Linked DNA regions of Mytilus edulis. The protein of the gene in region 2 binds, or shares a complex with, the protein of the main gene of each other region. Links are inferred from orthologs where the notes say so. Each region holds a gene or a part of one and is shown on either strand. Other genes may lie near its edges. The genes, in order: B9 domain-containing protein 1-like, centrosomal protein of 290 kDa-like, transmembrane protein 231-like and tectonic-like complex member MKS1.

What was found.
Region 1: centrosomal protein of 290 kDa-like (region 2) and B9 domain-containing protein 1-like share a complex: the UniProt entries of both Homo sapiens proteins name them as parts of the tectonic-like complex. The link is inferred for Mytilus edulis from reciprocal best matches to the Homo sapiens genes CEP290 and B9D1.
Region 3: centrosomal protein of 290 kDa-like (region 2) and transmembrane protein 231-like share a complex: the UniProt entries of both Homo sapiens proteins name them as parts of the tectonic-like complex. The link is inferred for Mytilus edulis from reciprocal best matches to the Homo sapiens genes CEP290 and TMEM231.
Region 4: centrosomal protein of 290 kDa-like (region 2) and tectonic-like complex member MKS1 share a complex: the UniProt entries of both Homo sapiens proteins name them as parts of the tectonic-like complex. The link is inferred for Mytilus edulis from reciprocal best matches to the Homo sapiens genes CEP290 and MKS1.

Annotation. Positions count from the first base shown.
Region 1 is NC_092352.1:63,763,113-63,770,511, forward strand, and holds the start of B9 domain-containing protein 1-like, read left to right. Parts: upstream 1-4,379; 5' UTR 4,380-4,479; coding exon 4,480-4,536; intron 4,537-7,399. UniProt on the Homo sapiens protein: Component of the tectonic-like complex, a complex localized at the transition zone of primary cilia and acting as a barrier that prevents diffusion of transmembrane proteins between the cilia and plasma membranes.
Region 2 is NC_092353.1:4,363,352-4,370,332, reverse strand, and holds the start of centrosomal protein of 290 kDa-like, read left to right. Parts: upstream 1-3,981; 5' UTR 3,982-4,163; intron 4,164-6,981. Other genes in the region: uncharacterized protein, read right to left, coding at 470-565. UniProt on the Homo sapiens protein: Involved in early and late steps in cilia formation. Its association with CCP110 is required for inhibition of primary cilia formation by CCP110.
Region 3 is NC_092348.1:50,345,137-50,352,363, forward strand, and holds the start of transmembrane protein 231-like, read left to right. Parts: upstream 1-4,204; 5' UTR 4,205-4,226; coding exon 4,227-4,365; intron 4,366-7,227. UniProt on the Homo sapiens protein: Transmembrane component of the tectonic-like complex, a complex localized at the transition zone of primary cilia and acting as a barrier that prevents diffusion of transmembrane proteins between the cilia and plasma membranes.
Region 4 is NC_092349.1:45,661,455-45,668,622, forward strand, and holds the start of tectonic-like complex member MKS1, read left to right. Parts: upstream 1-4,164; 5' UTR 4,165-4,207; coding exon 4,208-4,284; intron 4,285-7,168. UniProt on the Homo sapiens protein: Component of the tectonic-like complex, a complex localized at the transition zone of primary cilia and acting as a barrier that prevents diffusion of transmembrane proteins between the cilia and plasma membranes.

The DNA.
Region 1 (7,399 bases), on a different chromosome or scaffold from region 2:
GTATCATAAATTTTAGTATTCAGCTTTCCATTAGTGATATAGATATCAAGATCGAGAAAAGGGCAGTGGTCATTGTTAGTAATAAGCCAATCTTTTCCCCATTGTATGGCTGCTTCTAGGTCTTCCTGCAGCTTAAGACAGTTTTTTAAAGTTTTAATTTGTCAATAGATTATATTGTCATCTGCGAAGAGTCTGATTTTGCTATGTTGGATGTAATCTGGGAGGTCATTTATGTTTATTAAGAAAAGTATTGGTCCTAGCACTGTACCCTGTGGGACACCTGATGAGGTATTTTTGAAGATGACATGTTTTCTAAAAGTACTGTTTGGGTTCTGTTTGAAAGAAAGTATTCAACCCAGTTAATGATTTGATCTAATATTCTAAAGTATTTCATTTTGTATAGTAATCTTTTGTCAGTGGTACCTTGTCGAAAGCTTTAGCAACATCCATGATTATGAGATCTGTTTGTATGTTCTTGTCATTGTTTTGGAATAGTTCATGAATCAGTGAGATAACTTGGGTCTCACATGATCGTTTTGCCCTAAATCGGATCCATGTTGTAATTCATACAGAGTGTTGTTTGTTTTTAGATGATTCATCCAAATGCTGCTTGCAAAGATATGTTCGAGTAATTTGCAAACTATGCATGTTAAGGATATAGGCCTATAGTTGCTTGGGTTGTATAATATTTATCCCTTTTTTTAAATACACTGTTAAGTTTTACATTTAGTTAGGAAAGTTTTTAATTTATTTTAGGTCCCGCGCGCTAGGTTGTGGCGTCACGTGAAGAGGCTTTATAATAGTGAAAATTTAGTTTATTTCTTTCTGTTTACATCTGTTAGGTGGAGACCGACAACATGTATATAACGAGGGAATACACACGATGTATTTCTTTTGTCATTGTAGGAAATTGACGTTTCGATCACAGTTCACGAGCAGTGCATGCTTTGGATTTAATTTATCCTGTGTAACTTTAAAACACGATTATTGATTATTTTCTTACAATATACATTTCTCAAAAGCAGCTTGTAACACAGATTTTATTATAATACAGGAGCAGACATTTTATTGTAGGATTTCATTGAGATTAACGGACCAACAAGCGATTTTTACGGCATTGCAATTTCTCAGTTTTCTCTACGGAAATTCTTGCCGGGGATCGAGGTAGCTGCAACATGTTGTTTTGTGAAGTTTTAATACATGTATGCCGTTTTACAATATAAATCAATTGCTTTAAAAAAAAAAAACAATTGTAAACGGTCTCCCCCCCCTTTTTTTACCTAAGAAACATGATTGATTGATTAATGTGTGTTTCTTTCTTTCTTTCTTTCTTTCTGCAAGGGGTTCATATTATTGTGTTATCCATGCCAAGAAATCCTAGCTAAAAATTTCGGTGGACCTCCTACGGCACCCATTAGTAGATACAGATTTAATTTCATTCAACAAATTAATTTATGACCTTTATGTACTCGCTAAGAACACGGCCATATACCAAATGGTCAATATTAATCATCCATGTAATTTGCTCTATGGGATATTTGCAGAATTTCAACGGTGTCAATTTCTTGGCATGGGTGTGACAGTTTCATGGTTCCAGTCAGATGGTACTTTGCCTGTTTGTAGTGAATCTGATCTTGTAAATATTAAAGTGAGGATATCTACATATTCCGATGTTTTGTTTAAGTACTTTGACTGCGATGGTATCAGGACCGGTAGCTTTAGTCGGGTTTATGTTTTTAATTAGTTTTAATTTTATACTGCACTCGTTCTATTTGAGCAGTCAAAATGCGTTGACTGTATATTTCTATGCCATATACGGTCACTGACCTGATATCACTTTTCCTCATGAATATTTAAAAATAGAAATTGTCGAAATTGTATTTAATTATTCATACGACCTCTTCAACCTGTTCTTGTTTCCAATGTAAACAACGATGCGTTTAACGAATCAAACTTGTTTCTTTTGCAATTTTTGGGAAAACATATTTCACTTATTAATATTTTTTTGTTTGGAACCTATAAATCATTATGTTTTATGTTTATTGATGATATTTTAGTCTGCAACGAATTCGTTCATCATTGATTGCGGTAATGATCGATGTACATTTCATCGTGTTTTTATATTTCTCCATCTGTGTGATATGAGGCCTTTTTAAAGGGGGATTTTTCCCAATATTTAAATCAAATAAATAACATTAACACAATAAACAACAATTGAAAATGTTTTTTTTAGATTGCAGTATAAAGACAATAATGGTGCATTGACTTGACATATCAACGATATATAAGGATTCGGCCCAAAACGGGGAAAATGCTCGGCAGAGCCTCGCATTTCCCCGTTTCTAAGCCTCATCCTTATATCATTGATATGTCAAGTCAATGCACTATTATTGTCTATGTAAACACCATCCCTAGATATTTTAATGGGTATCATTATGGGGTATTTACTAGGACTTTTGTCTGGAATGTTACTTAGTGTTTGCTTCAGATGTAAATGCAGACTGAAACTGTTTTCGTATTTCTGGCTTTTGATGTAAGAGTACAGTTTTTAAGGTGTATTTTTGAAGCATGGTTGATATGGCTCCTTTATTTCAATATCGAAAATCATATTTTCTATGTATTGCCAGTATGAGTTTCTCATTTCTTTCTGGAGCTTGGTTTTAATTTTTTGGTATTGTTTTTTTTTTATAAGTTGTGATTTTTCTTTTTCTTTTTATATAGTTTCTTTTTCTTTTAAATGAGCTTTTTAAGTTGGTTATTTACCGGCCAAGGTAGTTTTGATTTGTTACCAATGCTTTTTGTTAGAATATGCTTGGTAATAGATTTTTGGATGTTTTTTTTTTTAACGTGTTCCATACCGAGTGGTTCCAAAGTTCATCGAGATTTTAATTAATTATCTTGATCTTGTTTTAGTTGTTTGTATGTTTCAGTGAGATCTTTTTCTATTTGCTCCCAATTTGCCTTTTAATTTGTAGTGTAGTACTTTATGAGCCTGTTGCTTATTTTGCGGCAGAGTTAAGTTTATTTCTATGTAAACAATGTCATGATCACTTGCTCCGATTGGTGGTAATGTTTCGATTCTATTAACAAATGATGGATTGGTCATACACAAAAGGTCTAGGGCTGTGTCGTTTCTGGTGTTCTTGTTTAGGACCTGTGCTCGGGGGGGCCACTTCAAACTTTTTTTGGTAGGGGTGAGCAGCTGAGACATCAAGTACCCCACCCTTTTCATATATTTTGTTAATCAAAAATATATACCTTGTCATATATATTAATTAACAAAAAACAGACCTATAGATATATTTCAATATTTTCCAATATTTTCCCCGCTCATCATCTTGTAAATAGTCGCAATAATATCACCTTCTTTTCCAAAAAATTCGTCACATCTTAAACACTTTTTTCTTATTGCCGTTTTACATCTTTCATTATAAAGATATTTCAATTCCAAATTACAATACATATAAAAGACGTTTGGTCAGATCATAGATGGTATTACATCTGTGGTCAGATAAATGTAATATCACCCCAGAGCATGCAGAGTGTAACACCTTCACTGATTTTAACATGCTAAAATATTAATTTAAAACTGATAAAAAGTTTCATTGCCTTTCCCTCTTAAAGGACGCTGTCACAATGGAATTTATTTAAATAATTGTTATCATGTTTTATGTATACAAACCCTTGAATGTTAATTAGGTGCAAATGTCAAAATAGTTGGATTTATTGCATCTATCACTGGCATCAGTGGAAATACCACATCAGAATAAATAGATTTTAATTGGTTTGACAAATAACTGATGCATTTACGACTGTGGTTTAACCGCATCAAAAATAAATACGGACATCTGATTAGTTTCAGATACTTATGATATAATCAAGCAAGTGATAATATCAACCTATTGATATATTTCATCTGAATTTCTCACCCTTTTCATATATCGTAGAGCATGAAAAAGTGACCTATTCCAGCGGCTCATCCCTACCACTAATTATATAGCAAGTGGCCCCCCCGAGGACCTGTGTTATTAAAGTGTTATTAAAGTTGTTGTCATTCAATATCTAAACTCTAGTTAGAATAATTGAATAATTTATTTTGAACATTTTAAAAATGTTCAAAATAAATTATATTTTACATGCAAGAATTATCAGTTTATAAATTAGATTAGGAAAGACACCTTATGGCAAAAAGAAAAACCCTGGGTTGAAATGTAAACATGATATCAAAATAATATTGTATTAGTTATACAACTTTTATCATACTAGATGTATATTCTAATTTCTTCCAGTTGGCCGATTTTGTTTAAAGCTCGATTTTGTAATAGTCCGAGTTTTTAATGGGCCGAGAATGCCGGATATCAACCGCTCGGAATACCTTGATACCCGCTCGGAATACCTTTTGTAGTATCGTACAGTATTATTTTGTCTGTCAACATAGAAGTGATCTGCACAAACTGAGACTACACAAACAAAACAAAAATGACAGCAAATTCAGTATTTCTTGTAATGGTTGGTGGACAAATTGAGTCCGGAGAGGTAAAATTTGGAAGAAAACCATTATAATCTTCTAAACACTTTCCATAAAACCTGAAAAAAATAAAACAAATTCTCAAAACAAGCCTGTTCATGTTAAGAAAAAGTCAGCATATCAAACAAAACATTATAGGAGAAATCTGTGGTTTAATTGAAGCATACATTTGTATTAAAACCGATAATCTGTACAGTACCTGACCAAAAGTATTTGTCACAGGCATTTTGTTTGCTATATATTTAAAAGAAAACACATTTAAAAAAAAATATTTATAGGGCATTTATCAGGTCAGGAATAACCACCAATTGGTGGATTATACCTCAATTGACGTATAATCCACCAATTGGTGGTTATAGGAATAACCTGTTTATGATTGGATTTTGATCAACAAGGCCTTAAAAGACGTAGAATATTGTCTAAAGAATGTTTGTTTATTTGGTTATACTTTTATCTTCAGCGTTCAGGTGTTTTTGTTTTCTCTCGATGTGAACACAAACAATATTTTTTTGTAATTTAATTTGGTTGAATATAGCGAATTTCTGAACAAAAAAATATTTGTGTTTATCTTGTGAAAAAATGAAAATGATCCTCAAAAAAAATATAACCAAATAAACAAATAAATCTGTAACAATTCTGCTTCTATTGGTTATTATTTACAAGTTATTTTAGTTCTTTCAAAGTTTCATATCTTTGATTTTACTGCCATGCCAGAGTGCCAGCAAAAATAGTTTAATAATAATTTAACATGTTAGCCTTGGGTCTGTTCACTCTGAGTTCGTTCGCCCATAGAGTCCATAGGCGGATCCTGCCCCCCCCCCCTTTTTCATGCGAAAAATTTGGTTGATTATATAGGGAATCATTGAAGCATGACTGGGGCATACCCCCCTTAGGTCAGTCAGCGGGCCCCCCTTAGGAAAAGTTCTGGATCCGCCACTGGAGTCTGTTCACCCTACTAAAAAAATATTAATATTCAGGGCATTGAAGTTGAATAAACTTTTATTCAAATATTTCTATGGTATATATTTTCTTGAAATTTATGGAAACATGGAAATATTTAAAAGTTTATGGCTTGTTTAGGATCATTAATTGTTCAATGACAAAATAATTCAGATCACTGATTATTGTGATACTTGTCTTTTGATGGATTAATAATAAAAACAAACGTTTTGTTTTGATAAAATATTCAGCTTGTAATTAATAATTTTAAGCCATAATGTCATGAATGTACGAGCTGTAACATTGTAAATGATGAAACAGATTTACAAGTTCTTTTATTTATACTCTGAGACTAGTCTCAGTTATGCTGTATACATTCATGATTGACCATGTTGACTGAATACAATTATTTTGTTAACAAATATCAATAAAGATAAATACATTGTATTCCAGTATTCTACTCTGCAAATCAAAGGGAAAATGATAAATTGATTGCGGCAATACAAATATTCTGTCAATTTTTCAACAAACTTCAACATATTTTGTTCAAATACTTTAAATTATGTGACTAGACAACAATTAGAAAAACATAAAAATCAGTGCGAATGAACCCTGTGCGAACAGGTATCAGGGCAAAAGGGTATCAGGGCGAACAGGTACATGTACTAGGGCGAATGGACCTGGATTCTAATCAGATGGCAATATCAAAAGTTCAAACACATCAAAAGAATGAATATAATATATTCCATTGATTGATTGCCTAGATATCTATCAGAGCTAGTACTCAAGTTCATTGTATCTCTCAGTAAAGCCAATAAGTATTCAATAAATAAACTGTAATTTTTCACTGAGTAGCTATAGACATACCTACACATGTATTATAGTATAAATATAAACCTATATAAGTACGACGGCTTGGTGAAAAATTGTGCACATCCTGCTACAAGCATGAAATTTGGCATAGACCTTCCTCATCTATTACTCTTTTATTTCAGATAGAGAGGCAATTGAAAAAAATATCGCACTTCTGGTAAAATCTAAAATGGCGGACTTCATACTTAAATCAGCCCAATATCGAAGGCTAGTATGTGAAAAGGTGTTTTAATCATGCTACTATCATAATATTTGGTACAAACCTTTGTTTTTTACTACTTTTAGATACATTATATAGATTAGATGTCTTGAAAAACCCTACTTACGGTAATATCTAATATGGCGGACATTGTACTTAAATAAGCTTATTTTTTAGGGAGTTGAATATTTAAATAATGAATTGATATTTCTATGTCCGCCATTTTGAATATTACTGGAAGTAGGGGGTTTTAAAGACAGATTTTTTATACATTGTATCCATTAGAAGCACCAAAGAAAGGTTCCTGCATAATGTAATGATAGTAGCAATACGTTTAAACACATTTCAATTACCCTCCCTAAAAAATAAGCTTATTTTAGTACAATGTCCGCCATGTTGGAATTTACTGGAAGTAGGATTTTTGCAGACATCTAAACAATATAATATATCCAAAAAGTAGTACAAAACAAAGATTTGTAATATTATGATTGTAGCATGATAATAACACCTTTTCAAATACTAGCCTTTGATATTGGGCTGATTTAGTTTAAACATATTTATTTATAGTGGATTGGGAAACAAGTTTTGCAACTTATATTAATCCCTTTCCACTTTGCGGGTGCGAGTGCTGCCTTGTAGCGGCATTAGCCTGCTCTTTTTCGAAATCTACAAGGGTGTCTTTAACGTGCAAGAGATTGGGCTGATTTAAGTATGAAGTCTGCCATTTTGGATTTTACCAGAAGTGAGACAATTTTTTTCAAATGCCTCCCTATCTGAAATAAAAGAGTAATAGTTGAGGAAGGTCTATGCCAAATTTCATGCTTGTAGCAGAATGTGCACAATTCGTCTGAAATATGCTT
Region 2 (6,981 bases):
AAATTTTCAATTAACACATGTAAGTTCTTCAACATATTTTTAGGTTTTGGTATTCAAATATATTGGCCTGTCTTGCTCCACAATAGATACATTGTAGAAATGTGCATCCGTCCCAATAAAATTGGTACCTTTAAATGTGATTACCCAGATCTTTCTTTAAATATTGTTGTTTCCTCATTATTGAAATCTAAACCTCATAGATTTTTGAGGTGCTGAAATTTGATTGTTCCCCATCTATTAGACTATTTTGATACTCTTGATATCTTAATCACTCAGTTTTCAGCTTCTTCCTAATAGTTCTTATATCAAGTTTATACTAAAAAAGATATACTTGAAGTGATATTGATCTAGAACATATTGTTATAATGGTCTAACTGTTTTAACACTGTAAGTTTGAACCCATCTTTATAGAACATGATAGAACCAAACCTCTTAGCTTATCACAGTAAATGTTATATAACATTTTTACTTTTATTATAAGAGGTTGTTCTTTGGTCAGTTTTGTTTCTGTTAACAAACTCTTGGTCAGCAATAACAACAGCACAAGCAGGAATTCAAACTCCATTTTCCTGCAACAATACAAATATGTAAAATATAAATAAGTGACTCAATGTGGCTTGTGTAGGTTCATATTATGTCAGGTGTGAGTAAAATGTGTAGAATGTTGAGATATAAAGTATAAACACATAAATTAGAATACATAAAGCCTAGAACAAACTGCCAGATAGAAATTAACAAAACACCCTCTATAAAATTATATATAATGCCTTTCAAAATTGTCAAGTTCAATATTGGTCTAATGAAGAGATAAATTATAAGAGCAGAAATATCTGGGAGTCACAGACAAAACTGTAAGCAAAATAATTCAAATCAGAGTCTGGTGAAGAGAACCTGTCACCAAGAGCCAATGCACGTCGAGTTTAAGGGGGACTATCGAACATGCACAGCCCAAGGCACAGTGGGTCAGTCTTTCGCAAGACTTAAGCAATAGCAGGCAAAACTATAAAGCAAGCAGCAAGTTGTAACAATTTTATATAGTAACTGGTCCAAATAATAATAATGATGCCGAAACAATTTACGAATAAATAAAGTTCAAATGTTCCAAATAATAAAGTCACTAATTTCACTAATCCAATTCACAGTTTAAAGTTAAAGTCCAAAATGTTCCAAATATATAAAGTTGATGTTGTCTGGTTGAACGATTACAGTTGTTTTGAGCTGTCTTTTGAGTTAGCGTTTCTCCTGAGTAGCTGAGCCTGGTTGGCTTTGGAAGCACTCCTATCTGAATAACACCGACGAGACTACACTGACGAACAACTGTTCGACTCCGATATTTAAGGCGAATCCTGAAAACTACTCATAAAATGACAGACATTGATAATTTTGATAATTGAGATAATTTGAGTATTAATAATATTGTTTACAATGTCCAAAGGTGAAATATGAATAATGTCAATTAGAGAGATACAAGTTCATTACATTTATAATCCTAATTAAAACATAATATAGCTCAGATTAATTAATGACAATTGACAAGATACCAAAGTGTTGCTCAGAGCAATTATTTACAAGTGACATGTTTCACAAAATTTACCTGATTAATTAAATTCAAATTTGTAATAAAATATTTCATAATTTCATATTTTCTAAAATAATATATTTTCTCAATAAAATTCATTTTAAAAACTTTTACCTAAAAGAACACCTATGACAGATCATTAGGGATTCTATACTAGAAAATCATACTGTCTAACAATTATGTGTGAACACCTCCCCTAGTCCTAGCTTACAGTCATTATTGCTAATAACAAATACAATATTTGTTTATTTTCGGAATGTAAAACATTAAAGACCCATTGTTGGCCTTCGGCTGTTGTCTGCTCTATGGTCGGGTTGTTGTCGCTTTGACATATTCCCAATTTCCTTTCTCAATTTTATTTTATATGCATAAATTTTAATTCAAATGTGTGAGAAAGGAGATGCTGTCCAAGTTTTCTACATTTTCGCAGCGAGAACAAAGTTTTCTACATTTTCGTAGCAAGAAATAATACATGATATATTTTCCTAAAATGTACAAACTAGTGATTTAGCATACAATCTATAATTTACTAATTTACGCTTGAAAGCATGCACCTTTATTTTACAGATGTTTCTTTTTCAGAAAATCCACAATATTTCAACCATGGGGAAGGCAAAGTTATTTATAAAACAACAATTATCGTAAAAATAAATTTAGCTGTTTGCTTTCAATAAAAGCAGGATACAGGATATATATGTGTATACTATTTTGTATCTATAAAGTAAACTGCAGATACAAGTCCTCCTTCAAGCAACTGAAGAAAAAAAAACCACACATTTGCTTCAGCTGACAAGGCACGGTTAGGTTTAGATTAATAAAGTCATGAACACTTGCTTTCTGACTGCTTGGTTTTATATAAGTTGAAATAAGTGATAAACCAAGCAGTCGGAAAGCAAGTGTCTATGACTTTCTTAATCTTATTTACACCTAACCCTGCTTTGTCAGCTTAAGCAAATGTGTGGGTGTTTTTTCAGTTGCTTAAATGAGGACTTGAAATATTTCGTCCAGCATGTACTTTTATGGTTTGTATAAAAAACTGTTAACGTGATAATACAATTACGTTTCATACGTCTATACTTTCATCGCACTTAAGAGTATGGAGCATCGGCCTTTAGTGCAGCCACAATCACCCTTTAGCGGGACCATCATACTTTAGCGCCCCCATCACACTTTAAGATAAAGGATACTACAGATACAGTTAAGTCAGCTTCATATCTTGACTTACATCTAGAAATTGACAATGAGGGTCGGTTGAAAACAAAACTTTACGACAAAAGAGATGATTTCAGCTTTCCAATTGTGAACTTTCCATTTCTAAGTAGCAACATTCCAGCAGCACCTGCATACAGGGTATATATCTCCCAATTGATACGATATTCCCGTGCTTGCATTTCCTATCATGATTTTCTTGATAGAGGGTTACTGCTCACAAGGAAGCTATTAAAACAAGAGTTCCAAATAGTGAAGTTGAAATCATCCCTTCGTAAATTTTACGGACGCCATCACGAGTTGGTTGACCGTTATGGAATAACCGTTTCACAAATGATATCGGATACGTTCCTTACGTCGTAACTACAATTCCCTTCCCTTTCATGAATATGACCTACCGAATTAGACTATTTACCAGATTTGTAATCACATAAGCAACACGACGGGTGCCATATGTGGAGCAGGATCTGCTTACCCTTCCGGAGCACCTGAGATCACCCCTAGTTTTTGGTGGGGTTCGTGTTGTTTATTCTTTAGTTTTCTATGTTGTGTCATGTGTACTATTGTTTTTCTGTTTGTCTTTTTCATTTTTAGCCATGGCGTTGTCAGTTTGTTTTAGATTTATGAGTTTGACTGTCCCTTTGGTATCTTTCGTCCCTCTTTTAAGAGTCCTACAAACATTATTGTAGCTATTTGATTGGTTATTTTGTGGATTAAATCATTATGAAATCAAAAAAGGGTTGGTTTAAGTTAGGCTACTATTTTCAGTTTCAGCAAAACAGAAAGAGGACCAATCTAAGAAATTAGTTAGCCATCACTAACAGGCAACTACAATCTACTTGCTAAGTAGAGGGTAACTTTCTGCGTCTTTTCTACATTCATACAATGAACTCTGTTTTACACTATGATTTTTGTGACTAAGCTTAAAAAGGTTAGATAGTTAAGCTTATTTTAGCATTTTTTAAAACTCGTGCCATTACTCACTCAAATCAAACATTTTTTTCCAAAACGAATTAAATAGCTCATATTAAAATTGATTAAACATAAACGTTGTTAGTACTCAATGAAGTGATAAAATTCTATTCTATCATATTTGACAATTTATGGTAAGATAAAGAATATAAAAAAAATCAATATAGTTTGACAACTTTCTAAATTCGTTTTGTTATTTTGCAAATTGCTCGCGACGAATACTACAGCCTTACCAATTTACTCGACACTAACTATGTTTACATAAAAAATGGCGGACATTCTTCAAACTTCAAAATGTCATAGTTAAAAGTTGCCTAGCGAGTTTCAAGTGTAGCTGATTCCATAATACTGGACGCAATTAAAACCTTTTTAAAGTTTTCTTAAACTGAACACTAAACAAAAGGTATTTGCATCACACAGAATGATGTGTAAATTGGTTTTGTAACAGCAGCAAGATCAAACTTGTTTATTTTAATAATGACGTGATTTACTTTACATTGTTTACTACTGTTGAATACATCTTTATGGTCAATTGAAATAAAACCACATGTACCTTCAGTAAACTGAACACTCCCATAAAAGTACAGTTACCCTTTAAAGACAAAAAAACCTAATAAATTTCCACTTATAAAAGTTATACAGTGGAGTCCACGGTGTCTGTACGGCCCGTAATATCGAGCATTAGCTGATTATGTCACCAGGGATCTCCATGGCTTGTTTAACGATGGTGCCCCACCATTGTTCAAATGTCTTCTGCCATCGTTCAAAACTTCATCGTTTTTTGTAGCCCAACGCCATTTTTTTTATCAATTAAAATCAAATGCATGTAATTGCATAACCCTTAGGCTTTTTATGTTATAATCCAATACAGTTCTAACGCCTCAGGGATATCCGGATTAAGATCGCTAATCACTTGTACCTGAGCTTGTACAGGTAGATCAACAAACCAGACAGGAGAATACTATCTGAGGATAGACGATCCATTTGTCGAATTAATCAACTCAGTTTCAGCAAATGATTATAATAATTTAGAGTAAATAAATAAATAATCCAGTTACAAAGAAAACAGTTTAACAAGTCGAACACATGCTTTATTTTGACTTACGCAATCAGCATCCCCCTTTTTTAAGAAGTACAAAATAAGACGCAAAACAGTAAATATTATTTCATCGCAAATAACTTGAGTACTGCTGTAACGATAATTAAGAATTACTTTAAAAGTTTAAAAGTAAAAACTTAAATTTTTACTGTAAAGAAATATCGTATCGTAATTCCGAATTCATTTCGTATATTACAATCAAATTGATACATTCGTGTTTCCGGTTTCTATTCAGACTCTAAAGATGCATGTTGCACAGCATCAATTTGTCAGATAAAGTCATTAAAAACCTTTTCATTTGTCAACGTTTGCTTTACAAATCTCTTTAACCTTTTACATAACCCGTACGAATCGTTTGTTGTTGCTTCAAATCAGCCATACTGGTAATGGGTTCTTAATTTGAGAGTGTCCATGAAAAATAAGCTCCACATCATATGATTTTAACCCCCATAACAATTACCAAAAATACAAGAAATCTACATGGGGACCTTCATAACAGCTTTTGTCATTCTCAACTAAGAAGGGACCATGAAGACTTGGCATTTAAATGGTTAAAAACGACAATAAATGAAAATATTGATACTTCTAATTCTATAATGAAAATTCAAATAAATATAATTTAAACAAGCAATGAATTAGCATGTTCACCATTCCTTGTATGGAGGGATAAAATACTTCCGATTGCGCTACACTGTACAGCGTAGACACGGTTTGTAATGGTGAAAGTTCCTCCATCATTCAATTTTCATCCATGGAGATCCCTGTACACAAATTAAAATCGTTCTTGTAATTGTTTTAGCCTTTCGAAGGGATGAAAAAGAATAAAATTGATAAGTTCAAGTTAATTAATAAAGTTCTGCAATCCCGTGATTTGCTATATTTGACCAATTTCCATTAAAAAAAACATCATCAGATAAAATTTGTTTTATTTAAGTCATTAAGTCAAACTAATGTCAGATTGAAATAATCTTTGCTCTGCATCCTTGGCAGTGTATTTGGTTCAAACTCAGCTATATTTCGTAGTATAAAATCTTTCCTTTATTTAAAATAAGCTATTTTTGGAAGGCATGCACGAAATCACCGGTTATTGGAGAAACTCTCAGTGCAGGGGTTTCCCTAATTTTGGACACACATTACACAAAATCGACAGGATTAAACTATACAAACAAAGATTTTATGAAATAAAAGAATGTTATGAATTTGTTCACACAATATTATCCAATTATTGGTTTGATCAGTTGAATGAAGTAAAGTCATAAGTCTTAAGTGCGCGGATACATTTGGCCCAGCTGCATTGTACATGTAACTGTTATAAGGGAGTCTGATCCCGGATCCTGCTTATTGTTTAATGAGAATCCTGCTTCTCGTTGCCATATTAGCACATGTTATTTCCCATGTCACGACAGACCGTGTGCTCCTTCTTTGGAGGATTATAAACAGTTTAAGTAGAGGATGTAAATATGATCAACAATCAAAAAATGAGGGCAGTCAATGCCAAATCTGAATTTGCTATTTATTTCATGGAAAACAAGTTATGGTTTTCAACTTTCTGTCATAACGTTTTCTCCATGAAACTAAGTACTGTAAACATTGCAAATTGTGCCCAAGTTGTCATATGCACATTTCTTCACAGATAATTGCTGACTGACCGATTCTATTTGAATGAATTAATGTTGATGATCATTAATGTCCTATCCGATAAACGGATTACCTCTAATCTTCTAATTCTATAATGAAAATTCAAATAAATATAATTTAAACAAGCAATGAATTAGCATGTTCACCATTCCTTGTATGGAGGGATAAAATACTTCCGATTGCGCTACACTGTACAGCGTAGACACGGTTTGTAATGGTGAAAGTTCCTCCATCATTCAATTTTCATCCATGGAGATCCCTGTACACAAATTAAAATCGTTCTTGTAATTGTTTTAGCCTTTCGAAGGGATGAAAAAGAATAAAATTGATAAGTTCAAGTTAATTAATAAAGTTCTGCAATCCCGTGATTTGCTATATTTGACCAATTTCCATTAAAAAAAACATCATCAGATAAAATTTGTTTTATTTAAGTCATTAAGTCAAACTAATGTCAGATTGAAATAATCTTTGCTCTGCATCCTTG
Region 3 (7,227 bases), on a different chromosome or scaffold from region 2:
AAAGATTAAATTTAAATTATAATCTAAACATAAAAGAGCACATATAAATCAACCTTTTACTCAGATTTATATCTAAAACCAGTTATAACTAGCTATTATATCTTTGACTTCACAAATATCATCATCTAATTTTACAAATCAGTATTTATTTGGTGGCACTTCCTGCACACTAAGTATGTTATGCCTTAGGTTTAATTTTGATGCAATCACATTTCAGAAGGTACATGTCTTGTACTGTTTTAATGAATAAATTACAGTTTTAAACTCAGTTTAGGCTGACCTGAGGTCAATAGTCTTAAACAATGTCATCAAACTATCAGTTTTACTGTAATATATTGATATTGTGACATTTATGGGAAAGAGCGTATGAGTTAGTCAAATTGGTCAATACAATGGAAAGTTTATAGCTGAGACTACTATAACACTATGTGTTATACTAGTAGTCTCAGTTTATAACTATGTTAATGTTAATTATATACATGACATAATAATCAAATCATTTAAAAAATTATTCCAAAGATTTCTCTCAAATCATGTTTATATTTTTTTAGAGAAGAGTCTGTCTGAAATATATTCAGGGGTAGTCCAAATAATTATGACTTCTTAAAAAGCTATATTATGGGGAAAAAGGGGGGGGGGGGGGTCTATTATGTTTTTTTTCATACAGGAGGAAGACGTCAAAGCAACAAAAAAAACCAACAAAACAAAAGAAAATAATAGCCTGTCAAGACGTCCTTATATCATAATAATTTGGTCTAATTTTGGGATAATACATTTAACTTCCTTTGATGTCGGGGAGGGGATAAGTTTTGACGATTAATTATTCTTGAAACTAACAATAATTATTTCTTATTGTTACTTTGTTAAGCGAGCGCGATGTGTGGTTCTCGAGTTATTTAAAAAAAAGGGGGGGGGGTTGTTACTATATCAAATTTACCCAGTTTGGAGACAATAAATATTTAAAATCTAACCATAAACTCCAATGTTCCTGCTTTTTTTAGCAGAACAAACACGATGGCACTCGTCTCTGTTATAATCAATAGTTAACTCATTTCTTCTTCCAGGTTATTTCTTAATCAATTATGATTATCAGCTGTCTATCTATTTACCATGTTTATGTTAAACTGGTCCGTAATTCCATCGTAGTGTATCGATAAGTGAACACAACAGTGATCCAGTTTATTAAACGTCTGTAAACCGAGGTATATAATATACAAGGTTCCTGAGTCAGTAACCGTAACTATCCCCGTGCTTTGTACGCATGCGCAAGAAACACCAACAACAAGGATAAAACAGGGTACACAGTTCCGTAATTTCGTATATTTTTCTTATCTTCATACTAAAGAGCTCCAAAAGTAGGCGTGCTTAGGTGCACTGGGCGGGTCTAAAAACCGACTCTCGGTGGTTAACGTCTCTCGATGGTTAACTTTAAGTGCCTACCGACAAAAACTAAATTCCTTCATGGTTATATCTTGCCATACGTTTATATTGGTTTGAAAGGTGATTACTCAAAATCGTTATTTGAAAATCCTGTTTGTGAGATGTATATTCATTTCAATACAGAAATTTCGTCTATATATTTCACAAGTGTATAACACGGAGAAGCTCTGAAGGTCCATTACTCCCCTTTTGTTTGGGTGTGAACCATCGATGTTGACAGCAATATCAAAGAATAAGATGATGATGGTAGAAAGAACTATGGGCGTCATGTGGCAAATATTACATGCATATCGGACAATGAGTTGTCAATCTGTATGAAAAGATTTCCAATACAACCATATTATTGAGAAGGAATGTTTACATGCTATACTCTCGTACTAGTATTACAGGGTTCTTGTGGCGTTCACCTTAGACACACATCTTTTTAACGATGTTTAAAAAAAAGACAGAACCAATTTAATGTCATATTTCCCTATTTTTTTTTAAATATAACTAAAAGTCTTTCATCTGACAAGATTACCCCTATTTAGCGGACAAGTTATTTATTCTTTTTTCTGTTATTGAATACCAAGAAAAAAAATAAATCCCGAAATTAATTTGAAACTTTGATACTCAAAAGTTTCCCAGCAAAATATTCACATCTCTTCGGGATAATTAGTGTTCGTCCAGTGGCATATATAACAATTTTGATGACGAATTCCTTCCTTTGTTCGAGAACAATCTTATTGAAATATAAATCTGTGATTTTACTATGTCCACAACTTCAATGAACCAAAGCAAAAGTTATACATCGACCTGTATTTAAATCAAATTGGTTCTCTTCTTCTTCTGGTATACAATAGTCTATCGACATTCGATGATTACATACTGTTGGCATACGTGGACTAGTCTATTTACAACACTTTTACCCCTATTTATTCAAAATATATGTTTTTTTCTTATGTTCAATGTATACATGTATATATTTTAAATTGCGCTATAGTTCCGTAACTTTCTATCCAGTCGTATAAACGAATCGTCGGCAAGTGCGTACATTTTTTTAAATCAATATTTCTGGTATGTTCCAATCTGTCCTTCACTTTTGACAATGAGTATATATTACATTTTCCCAAATTCACCCTTGGAAAAATATTTAAATAGATTTTAATTTCATCAAATCTTATTTTTTGGGTATTATTTATATTTTTATGAATAATATTCTTTACACCAGAAATGTTATTTATAAACAAGCGTATGAGTTTGGTAATGACAAGTAAGACAGAGTTGTATATTATACATCTGATAGTTCAAAATGGAAAATTAAATGTTATCAGCCGTGTACACTGATCAATACCTGCAGAAGTGAAACGATGCGTGAACTTGCAAGCCCGACAGGAAATCGCTTAAATACCTGGACGTGTCACCTCACACCCCTCACAATACCTTTGGAAGTAATACCTTTAGCCATGCTGGTGATCAGAAGAGGGAAGATCAAAATTTATTTGAAAACAGTTTATTACTTTAAAGAATTATGAACAAATTAGATTTTCGAAAACAATTTTCACGGAACACTTTTTATTTATGATTTCAACTTTGACTTGTCACCTAATTCCAAGTTTTAAAAACAACAGACCATGGTTAGTTAGTCGGATAAAACAACCGTACGATTGACAAGATATCGACACGCAATTACGACTACATCGGTTACTGTAGTTTTGTTTCTTTGTGGTTTATAGACATATCGTTTCATTAATCGGGAAAGAAGGACAAAATGGCGGAACGCAGATAATTAATACTCTAAATTTAAAATCGATGGTGATCGCTTATCTAGCGGAATAAAACTTTAATATCTATGAATTTGAGCATTTTTATACAGAATGAACATAATATCAATTTTTGATTTTTTTGCGAAGTTTCATTTTGGCATGATAGTGTTTCTACAAAATTCCGCTTGTGTTTATCTGTCGCCGAGAAATAAAAAAATCAGGTGTGTCTATCCAAAGAATAGAAATATAAACACATATTTTTTAGAGTAAATGTCTAAAATTTCGACCCCTTAGTTTATCTCTTGAAGTTGTACATTGAGGTATACATATTTTTTTATTACAAATCTGAATTGCTAAGGTGAAAAATAGCTTGTATGGGATCGAAACTGTATCGTATGCCCTTAAAGCCCTCTTTTGTTTTACTTGCCGTTCAATATTATATTGTTTGTTTCACAATAAGTAAATGTTTTTGGCTTTGGTTGTTCTTTTCGGTCTTCATGACGGAGTAAGACGAGTAACAAAGTTGTTGTCGGCTGGTAGAGTCGACACCAGACCCTCAACCACCTTGTCATATACCTTGTCATGTATATCAGGATCAGACGGAGGCTGTGTCTTCTTTACTTTCTTCTATCAGTTAGCGTTCGTCAATTTCTAGCTGACGTCTCATGATGTTGGTTATGGAATCGATCCTGTTTCTGGTCTCTTGTAGTTCCTTATGATGAATCGTATGCCTTTAAAAAATAAGCTGCTTCTCGACTGACTACTAAACTAGACTTTGTTCAAGTGTAGCGTAAATTACAAGCGGATTCCAGTTTATCTGAAAAATAGGTTCACGTACTGCTTTACTTTTATTCACCCTGAGCTAAGTGGCGAAAGGGTCGATAAAAACAATTTATAAATAAAAATTCATCAATTTACTCATGATGCAAAAAATACCAGTAATCAATCATGATTATACACAGAAAATAATGCACATATTTTTTTTTATTAATAATTCATTTATGTTATATCTTATTCACGTCGTTCCTGCTTTGTTTGAAAATGGCGGTGTACGAAGTATTTTCTCATCCAGAACTTCGACGTTACAAAACCCATATCTGTTCAAAGGCATCTATAATTCTAGTTGTGGTGTTGTTTGTTACAGTAATCCCTCCACTTTTCGTTGTTTATAGGAGTTATGGTAAGTGCGATGTAAATTTTTTTTTAAAAACCAAGATTTTTCACCAGTCATATCAAGTTGAAGCACGTTGACAAAACAAATTTATACAGATTCATGTATATATTTGTAAATAAAAAAAAAATGTTGACCAGCTTTCCGTATTGAGAGCGGAAATGGCATCGGTGATAATTAGAAAACTGATGAAACAACAATTTTTTATTGATAATATAAAGAAATTCAGACATAAGGCCACACCAATTTAATTGCAGTGGAGTCCCCGGTGTCCGTGCGGCCCGTGTTATCGCGCATTAGCTGATTTCGTCATATCAACACAGTTACACATACAAAATCGTTCTTGTTAATGTTTTAGCCTTCCGAAGGGATAAAAAAGAATAAAATTGATAAGTTCAAGAATTAATTAATAACTAAAATCCTGTGATTTACCATATTTGGCCAATTTCCATTAAAAAAATTACATCATCAGATAAAATTGGTTTTATTTAATTCAAATTAATATTAGATTGAAATAATTTTTGCTCTGCATCCTTGGAAGTGTGTTTGGTACAAACTCAGCTATATTTCGTAGTGTAAAATCTTTCCTTTATTCCAAATAAGCTATTTTTGGAAGGCATGCGCGAAATCACCGGACATTGGAGGAACTCTCAGAACAGGGGTTTCCCTAATTTTGGACACACATTACACAAAATCTAGAGGATGAAACCATACAAACAGAAGATTTTATGAAATAAAAGTATATTATGAATGTGTTCACACAAAATTATCCAATTATTGGTTTTATCAGTTGAATGAAGTGAAGTCATAAGTCTTATGTGCGCGGATACACCGGACTGCACCGTGCTTGTTCTACAGATTTTTGGACTCCAAAATTTGGGGCGAGCGAGCGATTTGAAAATTTTAATGAAAAAATATTTAATTTGCAAATTTTTGAGGCGAAGCTTGAAAAGTAAAGGCGAGCGATTATAATTTTTTTTTGTAAACATAAAATAGTAGGTTTTGACAACATTAAAACTTGATTTATCACTTGTACTCTGACATTTCTTTAATTTCAGAAGTGTTTTTTTCCTTGTTTACCAAGAAATAATTAAATGTGGTCTATGTATGTAATAATAAATAATAAATAAGCTTTATTTAGAGTCGGCAAGGTATACAAACATACATGTAGACAAAATGTGTGACTGAAATGAGACAATTCTCCATCCAAGTCATAATCAGTTTGGGGGAAACCCCTTAATGTTATAAATATCCCTTTTACATGTTTTATGAGGGATCAATATAAGTTATTATATATTTGTTTGTACAAAAAGGCTCATATTTTCTCAAAGAACTATATATCTATCTGGTATTAAATGGTAAAAACATGTCCAGGAATTTTGTAATATTCCTGGACTTTAACCATGTTAAATTAACACATTTACTTTATTACAGTTTAATATTATTCAAAATAAGTGGACCCCTCTTTTAGAAAAAGTACAAAATTGTAAGTTTTCAAAGGTTTTGTATAGAAGAACTATACATATCCTTGGTATTTCTTTTCTTCATCAGTAAAACAGTAAAATGACCCCTTGTCTGAGGGAGGATTGTTCTCAACCTGATAATAACAAACACAGGTCAAAGTACGGCCTTTTTAACAGGGCTTTGATACAGACCAAACAGAGCTATAAAGGACCCCAAAATTATTAGCGTACACAATTCGAACAGGAAAGCCAACGATCTAATTTATCAAAAAGGGAAAATACCAATGAACACCATCAACAAACATGAAACGATAACTGCTGAACGACAGGCCCCTGAATCAATCAGGACAGGTGCATAAACATGCTGCGGCTATGGATAGTTTTGTTTCGCCAGCATACAATATAATTGCAGTTGAAGACAAATCCTTCAGAAGTTCTTCATACTTTATTCTAACAATGAACATTTTTTGATATGGAATATAAGTAAGGGGGAAAGAAACCAATTTTTTGTACTTTACAGATATTTCTGCTGTTAATTTATCAATTTATATCGGAGCTGAAACAAATATTCTCACAGATATTTACACAGTGAGGTGGGGTGCTTTTATGTTTAAAATCGTTATATACAGGTTAGACTGTGATTTTAAAAACAAATGTTGATATCTTTTTATAATATTTACAACAAAAACAGTGCGGGAAATGGACATGATTGCATTTCCAGATGCGGGAAGCGGGAATATAAAAGAAATAAAAAAATTCTGTTTTGAAAAAAATAGGTGCGGGCGGGTCTGTCGAACAAGGAATCAAATTGGTGTGGCCTAAAAGATTCATTTTCTAAGAAAAAAGGTTGAGGTATTGTCCTTTACAGTGTGTAGCAGATTATTTAATAAAAAGACAACTTTGTTATCCCTTCATGCTCCTCTGGTACTTGTGACCTACATGTACAATGAATTAGAGAACTTACATCATTCTAACTATCGGCAGCAAAATAAGTGTGTTACTTCATTTAAACGTGATAAAAGTTGCCTCCAGTAGATATTTACCGGTAATCCATTTATTGCTTTAAAAAAGTTTTATTCCTTTCCAAATAGCTCGTCAAACATCTTTTATTTTTGTAAATTTTCTTTCATTCATCCGTTATTGACCGTTTACTAACTACGGTCAATGTTACTTCATTTAATCATGATAAAAGTTGCCTCCAGTAAATATTTAATCCATTTATTGCATTAAAAAAGTCATATTCTTTCCAAATAGCTTGTCAAATATCCTTTATTTTTGTAAATTTTCTTTCATTCGTCCGCCATTGACCGTTTACTTACTACGGATCGGAACCAGACCAGCTATGACCAAAATCCGTGCTTTTACAATAATAACTACAGACGCATGCAGTGTTCCAGCTAGGCTGTTT
Region 4 (7,168 bases), on a different chromosome or scaffold from region 2:
ATTATAGTGCATTATTGTTCAAGTAAATAAAAGAACGAGTTAATAAAGCTAGGATACGATATTGGAAGGTATATACACGAAAAAGAATGAATTATACAACATGCGATGAAATATTACATATTTAAGAAACAATCCGAACACCGTTTATAAATAGCTTCGCCGAGAGCGCATGAACTTCCACTCTTATTCTGAATATTGAAATTGTTGTTATTGAATTAAATGGGACATTTTTTTTTTTGGTCAAAAATTTATTTGATATAACAATTATAGTGCATTATTGTTCAAGTAAATAAAAGAACGAGTTAATAAAGCTAGGATACGATATTGGATTAAATGGGACATTTTTTTTTTGGTCAAAAATTTATTTGATATAACAATTATAGTGCATTATTGTTCAAGTAAATAAAAGAACGAGTTAATAAAGCTAGGATACGATATTGGAAGGTATAAATCACGAAAAAGAATGAATTATACAACATGCGATGAAATATTACATATTCAAGAAACAATCCGAACACCGTTTATAAATAGCTTCGCCGAGAGCGCATGAACTTCCACTCTTATTCTGAATATTGAAATTGTTGTTATTGAATTAAATGGGACATACATTCAATGGTATCTGCTTTAATTGTGGCTTTTATGGTCATCATTGTAAAGACTGTCACACACTTTAGGATAAATCTGATGTATTTCAATTTGTAGACAAATTATCAAATCATAGTAAATCATTACTACTTCATAACAATTTCGATATACTTCTCAATTTATGTCCAAATTGTAATACATCAAAATGTATATGTACTCAAAAATGTATGTCTGTAGCTAAAAATTTTGAAAACAAAAGTTCAGAGAAAATTGTCATAAATCAAAAAATGGTATATGTGCTAATAGCCTCAGCTCAAAACCTAATTATAATAGAAACAAACATTATCAAAAAAACTGTCTTAATCTAAAATGTAAAGGTTTCAATGCTGTATGCCTTAATGTTCGACATATTCTATCTAAATTTGACGAGTTAAAAAATATGATTACTATAAACAACAAATATTTAGATGTATTTGGATTAGTTGAAACATTCTTAAAACCTGACATTAACAATGAACAATGTAAAGTGCCGGGATACAAAATTTTCAGAAAAGATCGCCAGTGTAAGGATGGTGGTGGCCTATTGGTTTACGTCAAAGATTCTATTGCAGTTAAAAATAGATCTGATTTATCAATTAATACATTAGAAACTTTATGGTTAGAGGTAGAATTTCCAAAATCTAAACCTTTCTTTATTTGTACTATTTATAGACCACCAAATTCCCCTCAGTCCTGGATAGATCTTTTTGAGGAAGAATTTAATGCAGTTCTTTCAGAAAACAAAGAGATAATTTTAATGGGGGACTTTAATATTGACTTGATAAAAATTGAGAATAAAAAATGGATCAATTTCATAAACAATTTTAATCTTCAACAACAAATTTGCACTGCAACACGTATTTGTGACAAATCTGAAACTCTAATTGATCATATTTACACTACTAATCCTGAAAATATTGTCCATTGTCATGTTCCGTCATATGCTTTAAGTGACCACTATCCTGTATGCTTAAATAGAAAAATCAATATAAAGATAAAAAAAGAAAGTCATATCGAAATAAAGTATAGGTGTTTCAAAAAATTTAATGAAGATGCCTTTTGTACAGACTTACATCAAACCCCTTTTGATATTGTTGAAATGGAAGATGATATTGATATTGCTGTCGACAAATGGTATGAACTTTTTAATCAAGTTATTAACAAACATGCACCAATGAAAACTAAAAGAGTAAAAACATTTAAACAAGCCAAATGGTTTAATGAAGAAATTAAAAATTCCATTCAATATAGGAATATGTATCATTCAAAAAAAGATTGGGTAAACTTTAAAAAGTGGCGTAATAAAACAACGTCGTTAATATTTAATGCAAAAAAGGAATATTACCAAAACGCCATAACTAGTTCCAAAAATAGTAAAGAACTTTGGAATCATATTAAAGAGTTAAATCCAAAAGAAGATAATATTTTCCCACCTAAAATGCAGTATGAAAATCAAACGGTTTATAACAACCAAGATATTGTAAATACTCTTAATGTTCATTTTTCATCCGTAGCTGAAAAACTTATTGGAAATAATACTTCAGATATGGATTTTTCTATGCTACAAAATTTTACTAGTGAAAAATTAAAGAAAACTGAAAATTTTCATTTAAAACTCATTTCCGTTGGAGAGGTGTGTTCTCAACTAAAACATCTTAATATTAATAAATCCGCAGGTTTAGATGGAATTGGTCCCAAATTTTTAAAGCTAAGTGCATAAATAATATCCCCATCATTAACTTTTTTAATAAACAAAAGTATAACTTCAAATCGTTTTCCGCAAAAATTAAAACTTGCAAGAGTAACTGCTATACATAAAGGAGGACCAAGAGATATTCCCTCAAACTATCGTCCAATTTCTATTTTGAATACCATATCTAAAATTTTCGAAAGACATGTATGTACACAGTTATATGAATTCCTAAACAATAATAAATTGTTACATATCGCCCAGTCAGGTTTCAGACAAGGTCATTCCTGCCAAACAGCGCTAACTAAACTAATTGACGAATGGTTAAAATATTTAGATAATGGAGAAATAGTTGGTACAGTGTTTTTAGATTTCAGTAAGGCTTTTGACCTTATTAACCATGCCATACTTTTAGAAAAGTTAAAATTTTATCATATCGGAAAACATATAATAGATTGGATAAAATCATATTTGTCTGACAGACAACAAGAAGTCCAATACGCTAACATTAAATCTGATAAATCGTTTGTAAAGTATGGAGTGCCTCAAGGTTCTATTTTAGGTCCGCTGTTATTTTTAATATATATAAATGATTTACCACTTCATGTTAAACAATCCAATATGGATTTATATGCTGATGATTCAACATTGCATTTTCATGATAAAAACATTGAAAAAATAAACAGCATATTGCAAAATGATTTAAATGCTATACAATCTTGGTGTAACAATAACAGTATGAAAATCAATGCACAAAAAACTAAGTGTATGAAATTGGGTTCAAAACCAAAACTTAAACAACTATCAGAATTATGCATTACCGTCAACGAAACATGTATTGAGAATGTCCATTCTTTCAAATTACTTGGAATTGACATTGATGAAAATTTAAGCTGGGAAGATCATGTTGATCGTGTATGTAAAATAATCTCTTCTAAAGTATCACTTTTATATAAAATTAAAGTATATTTGCCAATACACACAAGGCAACTATTTTATAATGCATATATTCTACCATATATAGACTATTGTAGTTCAGTTTGGGGAAATTTATCATTTTACACAAAGATTCAGATAGAATCATAAAACTTCAAAAAAGAGTAGCAAGAATTATACTGGAATGCGATATTTCTATTCCATCTAAATTCATGTTTTCTTCTTTAAAATGGCTATCTTTTACCAAAAGAATAAAATACCAACAATCAATTTTAATGTATAAAATTGTAAATGGGCTAACACCTGATTACTTAGCAATTCTAAATATTGATGATGTGCAACGCCACAACCTACGATCTGTCTCTAATAATGATCTTTTTGTTCCAAGGCCAAATACAAATTTTTATAAAAAATCTTTTCATTACTCTGCAACCAAAGTATGGAATAATTTACCACTCGAAATAAAAAAATGTCCTAATGTGGAATTATTCAAGAAACATAGTTATAATCATTTTCTTGAAAATTATATGCAAGTCAAATAATTTGTTTTTCTCTAACAAAACTATATCAAATATTGTCATTTATTACTCTTTGTATATTTTAGTGATTGAATTGTTGTATATACTAGTAATATATATTGTAATTTAATGTATCAATGTTAACTGTATGCATGTATTTTGTTTGAGGGCCTCAATGAAAATTAGAATTTTTCTAATTGAGTTACCCTCTTTAAATAAAGAATTTATTATTATTATTATTATTATTATTATTAAGGTACGATTTTGACATACTGTCGCCCCGAATCGTCGTCTCTTGTATAAACCGGAATTTCATAACAATACCAGACTTGTTTAAAATTTACATAATATAGTAAACAAATCAATAAAGCGTTTGATAACAGGGGAACTTTCATTCTTTTATTAAGAAACTATACAACATCGCAAATAGTTTACGGTCATGGCGGACTTGTACGAACCTGATTTTGGAGCTGCTTATTATAGATCAAAAGACCCTGTTAAGAATCTCAAATTCAAGTAAATAATTTTGCAATTGTATCAGAAAAACACAATGCTCAAATGAAACTAAAAAATTACGTTCTGCTAAAAGATCTGATGTCAAAATAACGTCAAAAATGACAAATTTTGAATTCATGAAAAACTAAGATTATTTCCAACTTGAACCAAGTATATTCCCTTAAAATTTATTGTGATTTACAATTTCTTTTAATTTAACTGTTTAACATCAAATAACATGCATAAGGTACTGTTATATGAGGCAGCCCTGTGAAAGGGTATGGGGTCTGCAAACCTTAAGAAATACATTATGATACCCATTATCAGAAGATTAATAATGATGATAAACATTTCTTGTAAGTAAATTCCAAGCATCATTCCTGCTTGAAAGTAACTGAATTACTGAAATGTACATGTATCTCATGTCAGTCAAATTTTTTGGAATTTTATATGTTCAATGTAAACAAGAAATTTTATCTATATGACAGGTAGTGTATTTTTCTCTCGTTTTAATCTCCTATAGTATACTTGGCGATTACAATACCAGGGCTTTCCATTGAAATTGAAGTAGAAGGCTCAATGAAAATTATAGGCTGCTGTAACATGCGTTCGGCGAAGCCGGACGCCCACCAAGCTGTAAGCTTGGTGCCTTACAAGTTACAGCAGGGAGTCTGGGAGGCCCCCAGACGCTCTGGCATAAATAGAGAAAAATCCTGCATTCTCAAAATCTCCTGGCACCTAATTTCATCTTTCAAATGACCATTTTTTATGTATGAAATTAAAGAAACTCTGAAAGAAAAAAAAATCTCAAAGAAATTTCATTTTTTTTATGTTTTAGTTTTTATTTTCATTACCTTTTGCTTAAAATTCATTTACTTTTAAAGGAGATTTATTTATATAATAATCTGGTTTGTTAAAAATCTTGATTGATTTATTTTGCATAACTACGTGCATTTGTAAACAAATGACCCCCCTATTCTCTCTAAAGACTGTTACGCGTATTTAAATCATACAATTATTTCTCAAGCGTTGACAGAAAATTGATTTATCCTCTGATTTTCTCTTTTTTTGTAAACTGTTCAATAAGTTGGATACATAAATCAGGCCTAAAATAAAATTTCATTTGTTTGGCATTGCCGCCCGACCCACTGAAAAACTTGCCGCCCAAATAACTTTATTTGCGTTTCAGAATTATTTTTTTTTTTATTTAAAAAAAATCGAAATTGTGCCGGCTTTACTTATTTCAAATCACGATCTTAAAAGCGCTTGTCTTACACTGTATTGGGAGCAAACATTTAAATGACATGGAATAGAAAAAGTCTGCCAAAAGTAATGTCAAAGAGGCCGGCAGGGGAAAGCATCTCCCTATGCTGCAATGCATTAGATGGATTTTATCAAAAATCAATTTTTCAGCTATTCTTTGAAAGAAACCTTCTGAGAGACCTTGTAGCGGACTCAAATTTTATCTTTGATTAAGCAGAAACAGATGATTTCTGCTTGACTTTGTCGCTTCATGAGATAGAAGTTTTTCACCGGAACATCACAGAACAAATATGTGTGGCTCTTACATTTGTTAAACTTATTAAATATTTGAAATTTATCATTGACAAATTTTCCCTTGAACCAGAGAACAAAGTATCTACTATAGTCAGAACCACTATGATGCATCTGAGACTACTATAACACATAGTGTTAATAGCTATATATATAGTAGTCTCAGGATGCATTCAAGATAATTATGGCTGTAAGCACCAAAGCTCAAAGACCAAAATGGTCCCAGATTTACAGGTTTATAGTAGTTTTGTACCAGTAGATGCTAGCCTGGTACAAAACATACATATTTTAAAGACTAGCATCTTGTGTCAATTGAAGTACTTCCCCCTTTTCTTGCCTTTCTTCTTAACATGAATAAGATAATTCTTAAAACATAAAAGATACTGACAGAAACATATGTATAAATGTATCTAGTGTACTAGTGATGAATAAAATCCCCTCCTTTTCCACAATTCTAAGGGCTCATTAATTTATCTGTATGCATGTAATGCATGTCCAGATTTCTGTTAATCAAACAAGCATAACAACCCATAATTTATTTATCTGCAAAAATTGTCTGTCCTGCTGCATATTTCCATTTTGAATTTATCATACGTTTTAAACTTAGCCCTGAAAAACCTTGCACTTGGATAATATTAGTATAAACACCAAGTCTATTTGTGCCAACCTTCCAAATTTTTAATATTTTGCTATCCTAATTTGGTACAGATCCTTTATCCTCAAAACTTATCAGGGGCAGTAGGCGTGTTTGTATGGTAGTTCGTCACACCTTACATGTATGATTACTAGCCTCTAGGTATTGGTTGAGCCCTAGTTGGGCAGTTGCAAAATTAAGGTTTGATTTTCATGTCATATGTGATAAGGTTAGTCAGTTTCCTCCTGTAGGTTGGCGTTTTCCTTCAAGTACTACGGTTTAGTACGCCACTAAAACTAACTGCCATGAAATTACCCATATGGTGTAGAAAGTGATGTTTATAAAACCAAAGCAAACAATCAAAGTTTTAAATCTTTGTCCATTTCTACAAGGAGCCGTAGTGGTAGAGCCATTTAACTTATGGTAATTTTACCAAACTGTGACCACAACTTCAAGATGTGACATCAGGCCTCTGTTCAATGGGCAGTCCCACAATTAAGTTCAATTTTCACGTCATACATTTTATATGGTTAATTTGTCAGTTTCCTGTCTCAGTTCTGTGTTTTTTTCTGGGTACTTTGGTTAACTTTGACAATAAAACTGACTGTCTTGCATGAAATTATCCATATGATGTACATTGTAGAATGTGACATTGACAGTTGACCCCTTTCAAAGAAACCACCAACATGTACACACAACAATGCTTTAGACAACATT